Linked DNA regions of Macaca fascicularis. The protein of the gene in region 1 purifies or fractionates together with the protein of each later gene. This does not show direct contact. Links are inferred from orthologs where the notes say so. Each region holds a gene or a part of one and is shown on either strand. Other genes may lie near its edges.

Region 1 (3,466 bases):
GCCTTTATTTAAATAAATTTGTATTTAATCTATAACCTGCAATCCCATAGAGTAGAATGATGTCCCTAGGTATTGATCTTAGTGCTTCAAAGATAAATATACCTTTTATGGTAAATATTAACAAAACAATTATTTTATTAACTATTATATTGCATTGTGATACAATATATAGTATTACTTTATATTATAATCTTAATAAAATCTTTCATTAGAAATATAAGAACTTAGTAACCTATGGGTCTGGATAACAGGGCTCGACATAGTGAGTTGCAGTGCGCTTGAGCCTGCGTTGGGATGTGCTGTAGCCATGAGATGTAACAGGTGTGTCAGGCACGTGTAGCTTCCTGGCCAGCTCTGGAGGTGCAAAGCCAGCCTCTGCCAGCCTTAGCCTCCTCACCTGTAAGGTGAGACTGGTGATTGATGAGTTACTGATCTGTGGCAAGGATCAGTGAGATGGTGATGGAAGAAAGGACTTTGGTGACAAGCTTTTGACAGGCCGATTCTTGTAGCTATGTGTGAACGTGTAGGGGTCCGTCTGTAAACACGTTTAACATGTTTAATGCTGGTTCTTCCATGAGGTGGGATACGGGTATTTTTAGGACTTTTATCATCATATAATCTTTTTATGGATGTGATTCTTCAGACTCGTCAGTTTTTCATAACAATAGAAACGAAGCTATTACCAAATACCAATTTTCATAGTGGCATGATAGGACATATTATAAAAGTACCTCATGAAAGGACATCTAGGTAGTTCCCAGTTATAAGAAAAACTACAGTGTGCAGCTTTATGGCTGAATTTCTCACCATTCTGACTTGTTTCCAAGATACGGAATTACTTCATCAAAAGGCACATTGACTGATTTTTATTGTAGTGTTTTAAATACCATTAAAATGTATTAAAATATGTACATATGGGTTTATGTTAATTGAAAAACATTTTTAAATGTTAGGAATGTTGTGAGCTCTGGTTGGTGGTAGGTTTTTGTGGTGCTGCCAACCCTCTGGGTTCTCAGTCCATGCTGCCAGATTCGACCCATACTCTGGACTTCATCCGGTCCTGCCCCAGGCTCTCTTTTTTCCTGTTGCTGGTTATGAGTGAAAGTCCTGGAGGGAGGGGTCTAATGGTTTTACAGTTTGTTCCCTCTGGGGCACTGCTCCTGATGGAATGATGAGTGAGGGAGAGGCAGCGTGTGACTGCTCGGCCTCCTGTTTCTGTTGTTATGGATGCCAGGAGACAGGGCTAGAAGAGAACCAGACAGGGATGGAGTGAGTGCCAGAGCGCTGGTGTGCTCTACTGCAGACACTCACAACCTTCCAGTTCTGTTTGTGTGAATGACAAAACCCACACCTGTGGGGCACTGCCTGTCCTTTGGCCACAGGCCCTCAGGCGAGGGGAGGCTGAGTGGGCTGCCCTGCACTGACCACCCCTCATCCGCCTCCTGCCTTGCAGTGACCTGACCAACGGCGCAGATGGGATGCTGGCCACAAGCTCCAATGGGTCTCAGTACAGCGGCTCCAGGGTGGAGACCCCGGTGTCCTACGTCGGGGAGGACGATGAGGAGGACGATGACTTCAATGAGAATGACGAGGACGACTGATGTCCTCCCCACTTCAAATTCAGCTTCAGGAAAACGTTTAGGAAAAGAAACTTTTTTTTTAATGTGGGTTTTCTGTTCCTTTTGGCCTACTCCCAAGAAGATATTGGTAAGCTATTGAATTTAGATATGCACCTCTAATAAGCAAGGATTGTTTCCCGTAGGATTAGGATGTGCTGTGGATGTGTGTTTTGATACCAGTGTGCTGATGCAGAGCGTTTATTTACTTTTTAGGATTTTGTGTTTTCATTTGCTATTTTTCTTTAAGTGCAGAGTTCATTTTTGCCCCTGAAAAGTTTTTGCTGAGTTTGCTGAAGAAATTGTATTTCATCCACATCCATGAAAATAAAACACCCTCCTGTTGTGGACGGTGAGCACCTGATGCCGCTTATTTGCCGTGAGTTTGGACGGCGCCCCTGATGCCACTTATTTGCCGTGAGTTTGGACGGCGCCCCCTGATGCCACTTATTTGCCATGAGTTTGGACAGCGCCCCTGCTGGCGGATAGCGAGACTGTGGAGTTTGTTCAGTGGTACGGTGTCCAAGCAAACAGCAGAATTCGACTTTCTAAACAGCCCTAAGCAAACAGCAGAATTCGACTTTTTAAACAATAAACACCATCAACCTTATTGACTTTATTGTCCCTTAAATTATATTGACTGTTGTGATTCCATCAAGTTTATACACTCTTTTCTCTCCCTATTTTGCAGCAACAAATTGCGAAGTGCTTTTGTTTGTTTGTTTTTGTTTGGTTAAAGCTTATTGCCACGCTGGTGCGGCTATGGAGACTGTCTGGAAGGCTTGGAATGGTTTATTGCTTATGGTAAAATTTGCCTGATTTCTTACAGGCAGTGTTTGGAAACCTTTTATTATATAGTTGTTTACATACTTATAAGTCTATCATTTAAAGACATCTACTGAAACAAATGTATTTGTTTCATAAGCATCTTCCTGTAATCTATTATAAAATTGAAATTAAATATAGAGAATGTTTTAACAATTTTTTAACTCAAAATTTGTCAATCATTTTTAATAGTTCTTTTTTTATAAAAAGAAAAAGGAATTTAAGGACAGGCAGTAGTCTCTTTTAAAATTTATTCACAAAACCCATTAACTGCACAGTTGCTATTAGCTGCCTGTTCTAAAACGATAGTCTTTTTATTGAAACACAAATAAACTTTTCTGTAATATTTTATGGAATATAAAGAGACTTTAATTGTTTGACTTGTTTAACTTGGCACTGTTAGTTTTTATTAATAAAACGCGCATGGGCATTTTAAACAAGCTGTGTTTCTCTAATTCAGGATTATTATCTAGAAATTTGTCTGTCTTGTTGGTTTTACTTTATACTTGAGTGAGAAAGTAGGTTGTTAGGCCCAGACGCCTTAGGCCTGGGTGGTCCCTGTGGGTGTGAACCCCTTCCCCACCAAATGTTGTCTGAGGCACATCCTCTGGGAGCTTACCCTGAAGGTGGAAGGTGGCCAAGGGTGAAGGTCTTGGTGGACACAGGGCAAAGAGGCACCTTCCTTTTTGGTGCCTGTGGTGCAGAGAAAGATAAGCCAAGTTCCTTGGCCCTTTTTCACAATGAAAATTGAGACAAAATTTAAAAGTTTGACTTTGAGAACAAGAATAAAATTGAGAGGATTCTGGGAAGATGGCGGAATAGGAAGCACCAGGAATCTGGCTCCCCAGGTAGACGTCTACCTTGCGGGCAGGATCTGCCTGATGCAGCTGTTCTGTAACTGGAATCTACTGAAGGCTGAAAACTTTCAAGGGAGGCTTGGTCAGCACATTGCAGTTAATTTTGGTCCATTTCAGCTTTCTACCCCAACCCCTGTTCCTTCATTTTTCTCTTACCCCTTTTGGAAG
Region 2 (4,340 bases), on another chromosome or scaffold:
TCCTGCTCACCTTGCACTTTGCAGCCTGGCCACAAAGCAAGTGGCCACACCCAGGGTTGGGTTTGGAGCTGCTCCAGGTCACACCCTTGTAAAATGAGTAAGCAGAGGGCAGGCCTGCCCACGGGGCTGGGCCCCGGGCATCTGGGGATGACAGGAGTGGGAACTCTGGGCCTGGCAGGCATTTAGGGTGGTCTGCTGCAAGGAGACTCTCCTGCTTCTTTGCTTGTGACCCAGGCAAGTGACTTCCTTTCTTTGCTCAGTTTCCTTATCTGCAAGATGCCTCATTCTGAACATCTTGACCAAGATAATGAACGTGAAGAGTGCCAAGCAGTGTCTGGCACACGAGAGGCACTCAGTAAAAAAGAGACCTTCTTGCTAAGATCACTGAGCCCCTCTGGGAGGGAGGTACAGACAAGATGCACTTGGGCTCCTCTGGGAGGGTTCAAAGCAGTGGAAAACCACAGCTGTTACTGAAAATTCCAGTGTGAAAGCAGCTGGCCAGAGGAGAGTGGGCCTGCTGCAAAGTTCCCTTCCCCGGGGGGTACTCAGCTCCTAAGTCAGGCAGTAATAAAGAAAGTCAAGGCTACATAGAGAAGAGCCTACTGCCTGACCAGGTGCAGTAGCTCATGCCTGTAATCCCAGCACTTTGGGAGGCCGAGGCAAGAGGATCGCTTGAGCCCAAGAGTTTGAGACCAGCCTGGGGAACATAGGGAGACCCCTGTCTCTGCAAAAAATAAAACAGAGAAGAGCCTACTGCCTTGTGAGTCCCATCACTCTATCCCATCCCCATCTCTGACCTTAGGTCACATCCCCTCTCTGAGCCTGTTTTCCCCCTGTAACATGGAGCTACTAATGCCATCTATTTCACAAACTACAAAGATGTTTTGGGCTATAAAACGCTGACCACAAGATCACCAATCCCAGTTATCCTCGGTTGCTTAACCTGTAATATGGGGACAATACCATTCCTGCCCACTGCCCTCCTAGTTAGAAATCATGTGCAGGAAGGGTCTCCGGGAAGGTTAACGTTTTGAACATGGGCAAAGCCTGAGTCCACTGGCAGGGAGTAGTGGCTCTGCCTGCATCCAGAGCTGGCTGGGCATCCGTGCCTGCTGACTAGCACAGGTCTGACCAGATGCCTCTGGGGCAGTGGGGGGTGGTCTTATCCCTGTACCTGAACTTATTCACCACACCCACAACTAAGCAAACCTATAACACCCCAATCCTCTCCCTGGAGCCGGCTTCCAAAACCCAGGACCTGGAGTCGAATGTGGCAGAGAAGAGCTAGCCCCACAGCCACCCTGTGCACACACGCATTGTCAAGGAGAGGACACTGAGGCCCAGACTGGGGCCAAGACTTGTCCAAGGACACACAGAGAATTAATGGCAGTCACACCAGAAACCAGGCTCCTCAACCACCACCACCCCCACTTCCCCGGGCTTTTCCCATTCCACCCCCCACCCTAAAGTTGTTTTGATTCACATGGGCTCCAGGAATTCCACTCCCACAAAACACACCCTGAGCCCAGGTCGGCAGGCAGCCTGGTGCCACTACACTTTGGGCCATCTCTGGCAACGAGCCTGGGAGCTTAAGGAGAGAGCAGCCAATCTGAACAGAACCCAGGGGGCTGCCCACATTTCTATCTGCTACAGGCTGCCTGGGAGGGAAGATTGGGCCTTGGGGAGGACCAAGGGCAGATACTTGGGGCTATACCAGGAGTTGGCTGGACAATTTGGAGTCTGTCCATGGCAGATTGAACCTGAGAGACTCACTAGACCTATCCCTCTGTCTTACCAAAGTCCCACAGTGTCCCCAGGCATGCTCTTTGCCTGGACAATAGCAGGCACCCAGTGCTGGTTTCTGGCCAAACAATGAAGTAATGAATGAATGGCGGCAACTTTGGCTGCATGGGCTTCCCCAAGGTCACACAGTGCACTGGGAGTAGTGGGTTGGGTCTCCCTCCAGACTCGCAATCCAGTGCTCATTCCACTCCACTAGAATGGATGAGATTACTTCATCCAAAGTCTGAAAATGAAGGGGTCTTCTACTCAGATACTGGGGGCACTGGGTCCTGGAAACTGAAAGCTCATCTTCCCTCTTCCCAAAACTCTACCTGCTCCACTCAAACTGGATCTCAGGCACCCCTCCCTCCTTTCCCACACCTGGAAAAGCATAGGGGGAAGCGGTGGGGGCCCCAGCATTACCGGTAGCCGGCCTGCCGGCAGGCATCGAACAACTTGGCCCTCGGGTCCGTGGGGAGTGGCATCGAGGCAGGTGCCGGACGCCACTGCGGGAGGCGCCGTCTGCGGGTACAGCGGCGTGTAGTAGGTGGTAGTAGCTGGGCAGAGCTGGGGGCTGCTGAGGCCGGATGGCCACAGCTCTGTGGGGCTCATCGCGGGCACCACCTTCGGGGGCTGCCCAGCGGCCGAAACCAAGGCCCGGGGCCCTTGCAGCATAGCGAGTAAGGCGCCCCCTACCCAAACGGGCCTGGCGCGCCCGCCGACACCTGCGGGTTCCGGTGCTGCAGCCGCTCACACGGCCCGCGGCATGGCGCGGAGGCCGGGGAAAGCCACCAATGGACGTCTGCGGGGCAAGGCCGGACCCTCCCCTCCTGGCCCGCAGCCGAGCAGAGCAGCGCTTGGAGATCGCCGCTTGGAGATCGACCGGCGGTTGCGGTGGTGGCACTGCCAGGGGCTGTCCCGCCCCGAGGGCACCGCGACCCGGGACGCCCCGCGCCCCCCAAGGCCTCGGCACCTGGGGTCCAGCCGGCTCTGGGGAGGAGTCCCCGGCGTGCCCGCGAGCTCCGTGGAGACGCGATGCGCTGGGACGGGGAAGGGGGTCTCGACTGCACCGACTTCCTTGCGGCCCGCTCTCTAGTCCCTGAGTCTTTCTCTGCCTCTTTTTTTTTCTTTTTTCTTTTTCTTTTTTTTTTTTTAAGCGCCAAACGGCGTGCCGCGAAATTCGGATCTCCCGCGGAAAATGCCGCGCTCCCGTTGGCTGCTGCAAGAGTACAGGCTCCACCCCCCGGAAAGAACCAGTCCTCGAGGCGGCGATTGCAACACGAGCTTCGCTGCTTAAAGGGGCAGCCACACCTGCTGTCGGTGCCGCCCGCCGCTGGACGCGCTAGCTAGCAGCCGGCGAGACGGAGACAGGGTGGTTCTGGGATGCACAGTGCAGAGGCGGCCAGAACAGAGCACAGCGCCCCGAGAAATGGGCCCGGATTCCCTGGGGTTGAAGGGAAACATTTTGGCGCCGGGTCCCGACCTGAGCCCAGACTCAGCAGTGTATTCCCCAGGCCACAGGCCCTTTTGTTAGTTTGCATTGTTGCTTAGCTAGCACATGTGCATTCATATCCCCTTTCCTGCTAAAATGAAGGCCAGGAACTTGTTCCCTTTAATGGCAGAGGGGTGAGGGATGGAGGCAAACTAGTCTACTTCTTTATAGGGAAAACTAACATCTATTCAGCGCCTGCAGGATGCCAAGCACCATGCTAGATCCTTACAAGGATTGTTTTAATTTATTCCAACAATCCTGGGAAGAGGAATGATGATCCCCATGATAAAGACTGACAGTCTGAAAGGCTGGGTAACTTGCCCAAGGTCATACAGAGAGATTCCCTGATTTGAGAGCTGGCAATGGAATCTGGGACAGGTCCCAGCTCTGGAGCCCTTGTTTTTCCAGTTAAGGGGTTCTTCTACCCTCCCAAGCTGCCTGCCGGCACAGCAGGGTCAGAGGCCCACTGCAGAGCTTTGTCTTATTCACAGTTGTATTCTTAGGACCCAACACTCAGTAAATGTTTGAACATCTCCAGGTTTCTTTTAAACAATCCTTTTGTCACAAGAGCCTCCCTGCCTCATTCAAAAATCTTCATTGCTGATAATATATTCCTCACCACTCCAGTTTAGAGAGGCTCAGAGAAGCAACCTTTGGTAGTGAGTGGTAAAGCTGCTAGAAGCTGCTGCTACATTCCAGGTCTGATTCTTGCCTGGTGCTGTGTGATTTTTATGCAAGTCTGAGCCTTGGCATTCAAAACCCTCCAGAGACAGTCCACAGCTTATTTCCTCATTAGATGGTTGAGGACAAGGTGGCAATAACCCATGATGATTAAGAGCCCAGGCTGTGTGGCCAACAGCCCTGAGTTCAAACCCAGGCCCAGACACTTTATTCGTTGTGTGACCTAGGCAAATTTTGTAAATTCTCTGATCCTTGATCCTTGATTTTCTCATCCTAATAGCACTTACCTCATAGGATCATGAGGAAATCTCCTGAGATAATGCATATAAAGCTTTCAGCACAGAACCTGGATCATAAGGAGGCTCAAGAATTGGCAGATGTTGTT
Region 3 (4,076 bases), on another chromosome or scaffold:
TTCCCCCCTGCTGGCAGACCCTAGTCACTAAAAAAACGATGAGCTTCTTTGACTAAGACTACATCACACATGCCCAGCAAGTATCTCTGGGGCTGGAAAGCAGTTAAGACCGAACCCGGGGAGAAATTGGGAACACGAAAGAAATAAAAAACGCCTCATTATTCCCAAACCCATCCCATTTCCCAAAGTGCTGCCTATGTGCTGACTTTCTTCAAGACTCCCGCAAAATCTTGATTCTCCAAAAATTAAACCCATTTGGAGCTGAGACAAGGTGAGGTCCACGCCTGGTATGATCAGACTACCATGGATCTGAGTCTGGTTTGGTTCTAGCCCCGTGGAGGCCAAGCCTCACCACGAGGTGAGGACCCGGAGGCATGGAGGAAGGGAATGAAGGAGAGAAAAGGAGAAAGGGGAGACCTCCGGGCCACACTTCTTTCTAGTACCAACAAAAAGAGAAGCCGCATACTGACCTAAATCATCTCTCAAAGGCGCTTTATAAATTACAGGGACAAAGGGAGGGGGTGGCGGGTGGCCTGGGAATCCTACAGACACCCTACCCTCTGACCCGCCCCCCTCCCCCTCCAGCACAAGGGAAGGAAGACAGAAAACAGAGCTCAACTCGGCCATTGGCGAGAAGCCCCCTCCGGTTTTCTATCGCCCATCCATCTGCCCCCTAGAAAAAAAATCCACGTAAACACCATACCCACCCCCTGGGGCAGACACTCCCGCCCCGAGGTTCCTAGAACCGGAGGCCGGGGCATTTACTTAGTTAGATTTTTCTTGCTTACTCATTTCCCTCGAGCACCCAACCCCCCGTTCCCACTCCAAAACCCCGCTCAACCGCCTACCCTCACCGCTTCAGCCCCCAACAGAATCCGGTGCCCCCGCGGCGTCGGCGGCCCCCGAGCCGTCCCGGTCACTAACCTGCTGCTGTAAGGGCATTTCCGAAACCAGCCTGGCTCCGGGGGGAGGTGGGGGGCCGGCTGGAGAGGGGGCCCGGAGGGCCGAACAGACCGGCGGCGCAGGGCGAGGGCGGGCGCCGGTGGGGGGGTGGGGAGAGGAGAGGGAGGGTGGCGGTGCCGGGGGCGGGTGCGAGGGCGCCGGGACCGTCCCAGGCCAGGGAGCCGGCGAGCAGGAGGAAGTGGGTGCCCCCCTCTCCCCCTCCAGCGCCCCCTCCCGCCGCCGCCTCCTCCCCAGTCACAGGCGCGTCCTGCGCGCACGTGTGCGAAACGTCACCGGCGGGTCCCGGAGAGAGGGACAGACCCAGGCGGCGGGACGGGAACCCGGCTGCCCCCGCCCTCCGTCGCCGGGGGGCGGAGAGGGGGACAGGGCGGGGAAGGAAGGGGCAAGGGGAGAGGCGGGTCAAGGGCAGGCCCGGGGCCCGGCGAGGAAGGCCTGGGCGCTCGGGCCACGCGGGCGCCGCCGCTGCCACCACCAGGATGCGCCCAGGCCAGAGCGCCAGCCGGCAAGCCCCTCACCCCAGACAGCCCACGCCCCAGTCCGCACCCGGCTTCCAGCCCCACCTCCCCCACGCCCGACTCCCCTCCACCTCCCCCAGCCCCTTTGTTGCTGGGAGTTACTGATCCTAAAATGTGTCAAGCGCAGCCCCGCCGATCCCCTGCGCTCCGAGCACGCCGCAGGGACCCCCGGCCGCCAACGAGCCTTCAAGGCAGACTGGGGGCGAGCACCCCAACAGTCCCCCGGTTTCCACCCTTCAGAGCCCCCCACACCCCAGTTCACTGCTCCCTCCCCCACCCCCTTCTCCATCCGGGGCGTGACCCCTTCCTACGCCCGAGAAAGAGGAAGCTTCGGGTTGGAGGGGAAGGGAGAGTGGGGGTAGGGAAAAGTGCAGGAAAAGAAGGGGGGGCCGCGAAAAGTTTTGGAGTGTTTGATGTGGTTCGCGCCAAGGCAATCCCCGCCGCCCCGCGCGCCTGGCCGAGCCCCCCGACCCTCCTGGCGCCGGGGAGAGCACTCAGGTCTAACAATGAACCCTCGTTGGAGGGGCAGCCCCCAAGGCCCACGATGCTCGGCCCACTGCTCTCCCTGAGCGGTCCGCAGCGCGCCCACGACCCCGCGCGGTGCGAGCCCACCTCCCGCCGGGGCTGGGGACGGTGGGGAGGGAGGGTATTACCGGAGGGCCGCCGCCGCCGCCGCTGCCGCCGCGTCCCAGGGCTGGTGGCTGCTGCAGCAGCCCGGCTCTGCTGGAGGGTCCGTGCGGCGTGGTGTAGAGGAGGCTGCCGGCGGTCTGCTCCGCGCCGGGGGCACTGGGGAGGAGGGGGCCGGCGGCTACGGCGCCGCTTTGGAGGGAGGAGGAACAGGAGGTGGTGGAAGTGTTCGTGGTGAGGATCTGGATGTACGCGCCCGGGGCGGCGGCAGCGGCGGCGGCGGCGGCGAAGCCGGGGCTGGCTAGCAGTGCCCTTTTGTCCATGGAGGCTGCAGCGGCGGCGGCGACGACAGCCGCCCCCTCCCCACCCCCGGCGGTCACCAGGTACTGCTCCAGAGCGGGCTGGATCCCCTTTCTCATCTCTCGCTCCTGCTCTTTTTAGTGTTATGGTATATTAATGTATTGTTTTCAATTTCTTTATTATTTGCAGTCGGAGTTTCCAAGTCTCTCCTCCTTCTCTCCTCCCCGCCCGGCGCTTCCGAGCCCCCTCTCTCTCTTTTCTTTTTATTTTTCCGCACCGCACAGGCCCCGGGGGCCAAAAATAATCGGGGCTCTGGAGAGAGGAGGGTCCCGGCCGCACGGATATCGGGCCCCAAGCGGGGATGGAGGCGTCGGGGGCGGCCGATGCAACGGATTGCGAGGCGGCGGCGGCAGCCCGGGTGCTGCGGCCGGCAGCTGAAAAATGGCTCCAGGAAGCTGCTGCTGACAATGAATGAAGGGATACGGTTTACGCGCCAAGGTCCTCCCGCGAAACTCGGATTTCCCGCCGGCTTTTCAAACCATATTTGCATATCCCCGCCCCTCAACCCGCCGAGGACCGTTCCCACAGCCCATTGGGCCTCTAGCTCCTTACTTTAGTTCCAATCGTGGAGCAGGGCCGCGATTTGCAGGTTTCCATTGGCTGCCGTGCATCATGGTTACCGGGGCGACAGGGACCCTATTTGCATAGGTCTCCTTGATTGGCTGGGAGAAGAGCAGTTTTTAGGGGGTGGGGCAAAGACTTTCCTTCTCTCCCACGGAAGACCACGCCTGGCCTAGGCTCCGCCCCTGTCCCCGCCCCCCCGCCGGGCCGGCTCTACTGACCTGGGCAGGGACTCCGCGCCCCGCAGACTCAGTGTAGATCTAGTCTAGAGCGCAAGTTTCGCTTTTGGAAATTGTCAAGGTGACTAAGGGAACACTCTCTTTCCTTTGACCAGTCAGTGCAATATACGAACAGCAGCACGAGATTCTTCCAAATGTGTGCCAAAGGCAAGTTGGACCATGCGGACTATGCCTGGCAGGTGGAAAAGGAGCCCTTTAAATCGTGGGCTTCTCCCTTTCTGAAATCCAACCAATGACGCGGCGAGAGCTGATCCCGAGGCCGGGGCTGATAGACAGAAGCATGTGGGCAGACAGAATCGTGGGGGCAGAAGGTTCAGCAGACGCGATTGCGGGCACCAGTTAACATTCCAGATCATTCCCGGTACCTTCATTATTAGCCTGGATAGGGGTAAAGTACAAATTAACTCCTTTGTCTTACGACGAGTATTGGTTTGAGTCCGGCAGATATTCCCTCTGGCCCAGAAACACCTAGGGCAGTTAATCAGGGCTAACCTAGAACTGATCTGCGGGTTTCTAATCCGCCAAGCAGTAATCCGAAAAAGTACACGCTTCCCACGATGACGTCGTGCCCCCAACAAACGCTGGCACGCCCGGGCATCAGCACTTTGTATCTTTAGTTTTGTAAGAAGTTCTCTGACTGGAAGCAAACACGACTCAAACCTATCCCAAAGTATTTTTAAAATAGTGTTGTTGTTTTTAAGTAAACTAGAAATTATCTAGTTTTAAGTAAACTAGAAAAATATAAAATGATTGTCAAACTGACCCCTGAATTTGTTCAAGTATTCAAGTGTCTTAAAATTAAAGCTTGCTC

What was found.
Region 2: the proteins of TFDP1 (region 1) and E2F2 purify together in Homo sapiens (affinity purification with mass spectrometry; 3 studies listed by BioGRID and IntAct, with this or other methods). This does not show direct contact. The link is inferred for Macaca fascicularis from reciprocal best matches to the Homo sapiens genes TFDP1 and E2F2.
Region 3: the proteins of TFDP1 (region 1) and E2F3 purify together in Homo sapiens (affinity purification with mass spectrometry; 3 studies listed by BioGRID and IntAct, with this or other methods). This does not show direct contact. The link is inferred for Macaca fascicularis from reciprocal best matches to the Homo sapiens genes TFDP1 and E2F3.

What each region holds. Positions count from the first base shown.
Region 1 is NC_088391.1:104,031,961-104,035,426, forward strand, and holds the end of TFDP1 (transcription factor Dp-1), read left to right. Parts: intron 1-1,453; coding exon 1,454-1,601; 3' UTR 1,602-2,878; downstream 2,879-3,466. UniProt on the Homo sapiens protein: Can stimulate E2F-dependent transcription.
Region 2 is NC_088375.1:211,588,273-211,592,612, reverse strand, and holds the start of E2F2 (transcription factor E2F2), read right to left. Parts: upstream 2,896-4,340; 5' UTR 2,458-2,895; coding exon 2,206-2,457; intron 1-2,205. UniProt on the Homo sapiens protein: Transcription activator that binds DNA cooperatively with DP proteins through the E2 recognition site, 5'-TTTC[CG]CGC-3' found in the promoter region of a number of genes whose products are involved in cell cycle regulation or in DNA replication.
Region 3 is NC_088378.1:152,550,841-152,554,916, forward strand, and holds the start of E2F3 (transcription factor E2F3), read right to left. Parts: upstream 2,855-4,076; 5' UTR 2,525-2,854; coding exon 2,132-2,524; intron 1,130-2,131; exon of another isoform or gene 943-1,129; coding exon of another isoform or gene 925-942; intron 1-924.